Callithrix jacchus: one gene and its partner. The protein of the gene in region 2 interacts with the protein of the main gene of each other region in a pairwise test. Links are inferred from orthologs where the notes say so. Each region holds a gene or a part of one and is shown on either strand. Other genes may lie near its edges.

Region 1 (3,745 bases), on a different chromosome or scaffold from region 2:
AAGGATATTTACTTCTTCAAGAGGCGGCTGGAGGCTCATCCCATTAGCCAAGGTGGCTACAAAATTCTAGGAGAGAGTAACAGGGAAAAAGGATTAGCTACCAGGAGTGGCTGCAGGGGGCTGGGCGGCGGGACCTGGGCTCTGGCAGGAGGTGGGGTGGGTGGGTTTCCAGCAATTCTTCTTCTTTGTGGGGAGTGGTGGCAAAGGGGGCAAGTAATGAGGTGGGGTGCTTAAGAAGGGATGGGAAAAGTGAGGGGAGAGAAAAGAAAGGGGGTCTCCGACCCCAGCTGTGGCTGGAGAGATGGTGGCCCGCCCCCACGTTGCTCCTCTCTGGCCAGGCAGCTGACCACACACCTCCCCCATCCAGGCCAGGGAAATTGGCACTGGCCACCGCCAGCTGTCGCTCCCCCTCATCACATAATCTCCCCCAGATTAGGTGACACTTCCTGACACACACACCCCTATCCTAGGGTGCCATGAATAGCAGGAGGGAGGGGGGCTGGCAGGCTATGCCCACAGGGCATCTGCCACCTCTGCAAACCAGTCTCTTGTCTGAGAGGATTCCAGAAAAGAGGTTTGGCCCACAGGCACTCCCCCAGAGCTAGTACCCCAGTCCCCAGCTCCTGCCTTGGGCTCAGGAGCCCCCAAACAAAACCAGCGGGAACCAACCCCCTCCCTTACAACCCTCTGCCCTGGAAGATGGAGTCCCAGGGATGATGGGCAGCCCCTGGACTCTCTAAGAATGAGAGGACTCCAGAAAGTGGCTTGGGGAGTCAGCCCATCGCCTCCATTCAGACACCCATCCTAGGCCCTGAAGACCCCTAGGTGCGGCCAAGCCTGAGGCCACCCCTGGGGAAGATATTTCCTCCACCCTTAGAGCCCTGGTGCAGGAGACCGCCAAGGGGGTGGGAAGTCATAGCAGTGACCCCTGGGAACTGCATCCTGAGAGCTGACCTGCCCCTCCAGCCAGTGCCATAGGTAAGGGGTGGAAGAACAGAGGTCCCATCAGATTACATCTCTTCCAGATGTGACCACTTTCCAAGTCTCCAAGAAGGGCCACATCACAGGCCATGACCTACTAGGCTGCAAGCACCCTCCCCCCAGCTCTCCCAAGCCAGCGCGGATGCCTATAAGAAGTGCTGGGGGGTTTTCCCGCGGGGGCCCATTTCTCAATCACGCTGAAAACTACCTCAAGACAATTCCAGCCCAAGAGGGCTTGAAACGCAAGACGGAAACCTCCCCCACATGGCTGAAAGAGAACCCAACCTAACTCGAAACCCTTTCAGGCAGCCAGCCTCAGGACCCCGGGGTTCAGGACCCCCTGGGGGGGGGGTCATCTCCCGCCCTCACAAAGGCCCGGGGGAGATAAAGGGCTCCAGGAGAGGATAAAGCTCTCAGCCTACGTATTTCCCACCACCACTCATTCCCAGCGGATATACCCTCCTCCCTCCCCCGCCCGGAAGAAATCCGACGGTAGGTGGGCTTCGGGACACGCCCCATGAAAAAGATGTTCCTCCCACACACCCAGAAATGGCCACAAGGGGGTGCACGGCACCTATTAATGGGAAAATCTCCACCTAGATGCCCCACAACCACCCAGAGGGAGGTCACAGGGGCATGCCCCATCCCCCAACTCCTAAAGCTCTGGGCTAGGGGGAGAATTCTGAGATGGGAAACGGGGTCGGGGGGACCCCATTCTTTTGTCTTCCTCCAGTGCCTAACCCAGAACGCACAAAACCGGGGCCGCTGTCCCAACAGATGTCCCCGGAGCTCGGAAGGAGGTTGTAAAGGGCTGAGAAGCACTGCCCTTCCCCAGAGACTCCCTACATCTTGGTGGGCCCCAGATCAATCCCACCCCAAGGCGTGTGCCCGCGTCTCCGGGGAGGAGAGCTGGTGGCCTCAGACGGAGGGTCGGGCCCCCTCCCCGCCCCCCCGGGCGCCCCTCCCCGGCCGGGGGCGGGGCCTTTGTCCCGCACGTGGAGCCCGCCAGGCCACCGGACTCGGCACACCCCCTCCCCACCCACCGCGCCGAGGCCACGTGGGGGCCTGGCCGGAAGCGCCCCCAGCCCCCCTCCACGTGGGAGGGGGGATGAGACCCTCCGCTAGGCCGGATGCCGAAGGCCCTTGAAAGCTAGGGAACCGCAACTTAAAACGATATCCCCGGATGCGGAGCGTGCGGTGACCCCGTGTGCGGCGGGCGACCTCTAACCTCCTGTCGCCGACTTAGAGCCCTTTCCCCACCACAGAGCTGTGAAACACCGACCCAAAGCCGCCCCCCTCTCAAGGCGGCGCTTCAAGCGCTCACCTCCATGATGCAGTTCGCGGCCTCGGCTGCCGCCATCTTCACCCGCACCTAATCCTCCTCCGGCCGCCAAGACCCCCCCTTTCTCCTCACTCCCCCGGGACCGTCTTATACCAGAAGGTCTAGGGCCCGCCTACCGCGACCCCGCCGGAAGATTTCATTGGTAAAGGAGGCAGCCCGTCTGAGAATACCGTCTAGTTATTGGGTAGAGAAGACGTCGATCATAGGTCAGGGGTTTGCCAACTCTGGCGCCCAGAGTCCCGCCCCCTCAAGTCGACCTGGGATGGGGAAAACTGCCCGTCTATTGCAAAAAGCGCGACTGGTGATTGGGCAAAGTCTACATAAATGCCCGCCCCTTTACCCCAGCACCGCCTCAAAGCTTCCCGGCGAGCCCCGCGCTAAAGGGGCGTCTCGAAATGCCTGTCCATCACCAAAACGACCCGCCTCCTCATCGCTCCCATTGATTTATCCTAACATGACGTCACGCAGCCCTTGGCCCACCCTCGCCAAGCGGCCGGCTTCAAGGAGAACACGACGATTGGCCCAAGGGTAGTGAAGGAGGCGGGGTTTCAGGCACCACCGATTGGCTCAAAGGAACTCCCACTCCTCGAACACTCGGTGGATTTTCCCAGGCCGGGGAGGGTCTGGAGGAAAAAGGGGGCTTGTGCCCATTCTGGGGGGAAAAAAACTGAATCAGTGAGAGGAAGGGCCTGTCTGGGGTCCCTAAGCAAGTGAGGAATAGGTGTCCGCCTCAACACATTAAATCCTTATATCCTAGCCTTTGACATAATCATTCCAAGTTTGTTTTTTGTTTTTGTTTTTCTTTTCTTTTTTTTTTTTTGAGACAGAGTTTCGCTCTTGTTACCCAGGCTGGAGTGCAATGGCGCGATCTCGGCTCACTGCAACCTCCGCCTCCTGGGTTCAGGCAATTCTGCTTCAGCCTCCCGAGTAGCTGGGATTACAGGCACGCACCACCATGCCCAGCTAATTTTTTATATTTTTAGTAGAGACGGGGTTTCACCATGTTGACCAGGATGGTCTCGATCTCTTGACCTCGTGATCCACCCGCCTCGGCCTCCCAAAGTGCTGGGATTACAGGCTTGAGCCACCGCGCCCGGTCCTGTTTTTCGTTTTTTTGTGATGGAGTCTTGCTCTGTATCTCAGGCTGGAATGCAGTGGTGCGATCTCGGCTCACTGCTGTCTCCGCCTCCCAGGTTGGTTGAAACGATTCTCCTGCCTTAGCCTCCCGAGTAGCTGGGACTACAGGCGCGTGCCACCACACCCACCTAATTTTTGTATTTTCAGTAGAGACCGGGTTTCATTGTGTTGGCCAGGCTTGTCTTGAACTCCTGACCTCACGATCCACCCGCCTCAGCCTCCCAAAGTGCTGGGATTACAGGCCTGAGCCACCACACCAGGCCCATTCCAAGTTTTTTAAGCCCA
Region 2 (3,745 bases):
AGACATAAAGTCAGAGCACTCAGCCCTTGAAGGGCCTAGAAGAGTACAAACCCTAGAAAGGACTAGAGAGATGCCCCATCCGCCTCATACCTGACAATATAAAGGTCACTGACAGGTATCCCACTAACCCCCTACCTGGCCTATAGTCATCTGTGAGGTGGCAGCCAAAGTTGTAGATGAGATCGAGGTGCCGTCGTTCCTGTAACCTGATGCCCACATCTCGGAAGGCATCCTGAGCCATGAGCTGGAGTTGCTGTCGGGGGAGGCCAAGGCTGTGGCGAGCAGCTGCCTTCTCCACTGCCCGAAGCACATCTCCATAGTCAGGGAAGGTATCAGGCCCTGGCTTGTTGATGAGCCGCTCAATGCGCCTGTTAACCTCTGGGTAGCGGGTACCACGGTAGGGGATGCGCTGCTCTATGACACGGCCCGTCAGTGAAGAGCAGTCTTTCAGCTCACATAGTCGCCCAAAGAGGCGGATCAGCTTACGCTTCAAGCGTGCCTCCTGCAGGTATGTGGAGTCTGGGTCGTCCAATTCCGAGAGATCTAACTCCTTTTCCTGCAGCCGCCGGATCTCTGCCACATAGAGTGCCAGCAGCTGCTCCAAGCGCTGGATCTGCCGCCGGGAACCACGGGTCCTTGGGGCCTCAGAGGCAGTGTTTTCAGCATTTGTGGGGTCCAAGGAGAGGTGTGTGGGAGAGTTATTCCCAGACGGCTCATTGGAGGTGGTGAGAGCAGGGGCCAAGTTCAGCTTCTTTTTGGCTGAGTGGGCCTTGAGAACAGTGCAGAGCTCATTAATGTAGACATAGAGCTTAGCTGGCCGGCTCTGGGCCCGAGATAGGACCCGAGAGAGGATGTTGCAGAACTCCGCCGAGGCCAAAAACAGAGAGTGGGCACGTTGCTGCCGGCTATAGAGGAATGGGACCACCTCAGGGTGGTCTGCTGTCTGCATCTTACAAAGTTCAAGGAACTGGAAGGTTCAGGGGAAGAAGGGAAGGGAAGAGAGACAAGGGAAGGGTTGAGAGAAAGGGGTGGTGGGGTTAGTGGGGAAGAAAGGACAGGAGAGCCAGTCAGCCATCCCCCTCCCTGGGGTACAAAAATCTTCCCACTAAAGCTCACCTCTTTGAACAGCTTCTCATTCTCCAACTTGTAGCATTTCTTGCCTCCCGAACTACTGCGTCCTCTGGCCCCATGAGGCTCAGAGGAGCTAGGGGCTTCTGCCTCAGGCGAGGCCGAACTGGGGAGTGGGTGGGAGGGCCCTGGCTGAGCAGCTGCTTCATCTTCGTCATCATCATCCAGCACAATGATGCTGTTAGCGGTGGCCATGGGGGATCAAATCCCCCAGACGGAGGAAGTGGTGGGGATTTCAGAATTCCTGCTGGAAGGGGATGGGGCCTCAGAATGATCCCCTCCAGCATTGCCCCATCCCTTCACCTCACACATTTTCCTAACTCCTTGGGTTTCAGTAACATCCATCCCTGACCAAAACTATCTTCACCACCTGATTTCAATAACCATTAGTTCTATATGCTTTTCGGGCTCTTCAAGTGGTGTGGGGAGGGCAAACCACCCCCACACCATAAGTTGCCACCTTCTGCTCCACCCCTCACGTCGATTTCCGGTCTTTCAGTTTCGTCTCTCCACTATTTCTCAGAGTTGGCAAGTTGAGTCTTCCTCCCACACTGCACCCCAAATCGTCCTGACACCCCCTTGTACAGATAACACACTCTTATGGGCGCCACCTTATGTATTTGCCACGTCTGTCCTCAAACATGTCAACCCCACACCCACCCCATCCTGAATGATCACCCCAACTTCTAGACTCTCTGAGGCAAAAGAGGTTCCCTCCCAACAGTCCGTTCTCTTTTCCCCTCCTTGAACTGGCTCCATATTTCACCCTCTGATGAGTCTCCTCAAACTGGGGCTTCAGGTTGAAGATATTTTACTCCAAGTCCCCTCCCTCTCACCCCACCCTAATTTTCCCCATTCTCTCTGTGACCTGATCAAAAGTACCCCCCAGCCTCCGCGCTGCGTTCTCCCGATTCCTCTTAGATCCCAACCCTGGGTCGAGCAGGTCCAGTAGACGCGCTTCCCGCCAAATCCCCCTCCCCCAGTTCAACCCCCGGCCGCCCCACTCCCTTTCAGGGATAGGAAGGTATCACAGCTTTCACCTCAGACCCAATGCCTGGCTCTCCCCCATACCCCTCCCCCGATATCCCCGCCCCTGCCTCTGGTCCCCGCACCGGCCGGCCCCCACCTCAGAAACGGTCTCTCGAGGCGACCCTCGCGGCTGATCTCAGAACCTCGCATGGTTCCCTCCGCCTTCCTTCCCCCTCCCACCGCAGGCCCCACTACGGACCGGAAGTCACAGAGTTTCCGCCTACAGGCAACTAAGCGCCGCCATATTGTCGTACGGAACCCAGTCTTTCTGTGGACGGAAGTGGCCGTAGGCCCGCCCCGTGAACACTTTCAGTGCCGCCCACATAGCGCTCTCTTTCAGATCGGAGTTTGTCTCCCCCAACCCAAGCTTCCCAAAGCAGCTGGGGGCCGCCATTTTGCCGTACGGCGCTGGCTAAACCCGGACTCCGGTGCGCAGCCAGTGGAGCTCTTTTCACCCGGTGCTTCTACGACTCTGCCAATCAGAAACTTCCTGCTTGGGGCCTAATCGCTGGCGAGTAGCATGTAGGGAGGACCGAGCCTCCTTTTCGAGCAGGGGCAGGGGAACCGTACAGGGTGGATAAGGAATTGGGCTTTCCAAAGCTGCGCAGGATTTCATGGAAGGGCAGAAGTCTCTTAAAAGGGAAGTAAAACCTTTTTATTTCAGCTGGGCTGTTGGCAAGCCTTCTGGCCCTGCTTTCCTGTCCCCCAGATTCCCAGATTCCCATTTCCAAGGCTTATTCGGCTGCTCCTTCCCCTTTCCCCGCTAGGCGGCGCGCTCCTTGCCGCTGTCCAGCAGTTGCTTCCACTGCCAGGGTCTGCGTCTCCCGATTGTTATAACACATGCATACAAATGAGCACAACGCGCCATGCAAAAGTGTTGTTATTATTATTATTGCTACTGTTGTTGATTTGCTTTTCAAGCTTCACCACAGAACTAATGGCCAACCAAACTGGTGGGACTCGAATGGTTCTGCTTCTCCGGAGGGGGTCCTCGAGGGGCCGTTTGTGCTGACCAGGAGGCCGTGCTTTGTCGTGGAGGCCCCCCCGCAGGGTCTGTGGATAGGCAATGATGGGGTGGGACTTGGAGGAGAGTCTGTGAGACGAAAATACCTTGGGTCTCCGCCTCCTCTTCTGGGAGAGCTGAAAAAAGAATAAAGGATGAAGAAACAAACTGATACTCACCTCGTTGAGTTTAGGGAGACTGTAGGGTGTCGTGGAGGCAAGGCTGTTTCCAGAGGTGAGCTTATGAGGAAACCAGAAATGTTAACAGGGTCCCAATCGTTGAGATTCCCACTTTCACAACATCTTGCCACTTAACTGGGGCCACAGAGGTCCTTAGATCCCTAACGCTGAGTCCCGGAATGGCAAACACCGTTCATTAAACAATCCCACATCACTTCTCTCCCGTTGTCAAAGTCTACAGCTTTCAAAATGGGAACATAAAACTCTCGGAGGGGACTGGGACTTGGGACATGTAAGGGATTTAATTTCCAGAACCTCAACTTTCCCAAAATTGGTCTTCGTAAGGAAACACCTGCGGTACAGCTTCTCATTCTTCACTTCTCCTTTTACAATACAGTCACCCTCT

The links.
Region 1: the proteins of DAXX (region 2) and PRMT1 interact in a two-hybrid assay, tested with the Homo sapiens proteins (2 studies listed by BioGRID and IntAct). The link is inferred for Callithrix jacchus from reciprocal best matches to the Homo sapiens genes DAXX and PRMT1.

Annotation. Positions count from the first base shown.
Region 1 is NC_133523.1:43,444,115-43,447,859, reverse strand, and holds the start of PRMT1 (protein arginine N-methyltransferase 1), read right to left. Parts: upstream 2,386-3,745; 5' UTR 2,342-2,385; coding exon 2,306-2,341; intron 2,207-2,305; exon of another isoform or gene 2,025-2,206; intron 67-2,024; coding exon 13-66; intron 1-12. UniProt on the Homo sapiens protein: Arginine methyltransferase that methylates (mono and asymmetric dimethylation) the guanidino nitrogens of arginyl residues present in proteins such as ESR1, histone H2, H3 and H4, FMR1, ILF3, HNRNPA1, HNRNPD, NFATC2IP, SUPT5H, TAF15, EWS, HABP4, SERBP1, RBM15, FOXO1, CHTOP, MAP3K5/ASK1, MICU1 and NPRL2.
Region 2 is NC_133505.1:41,563,460-41,567,204, forward strand, and holds the start of DAXX (death domain-associated protein 6), read right to left. Parts: upstream 2,348-3,745; 5' UTR 2,255-2,347; intron 1,376-2,254; exon of another isoform or gene 1,373-1,375; 5' UTR 1,324-1,372; coding exon 1,117-1,323; intron 968-1,116; coding exon 136-967; intron 1-135. UniProt on the Homo sapiens protein: Transcription corepressor known to repress transcriptional potential of several sumoylated transcription factors. Down-regulates basal and activated transcription.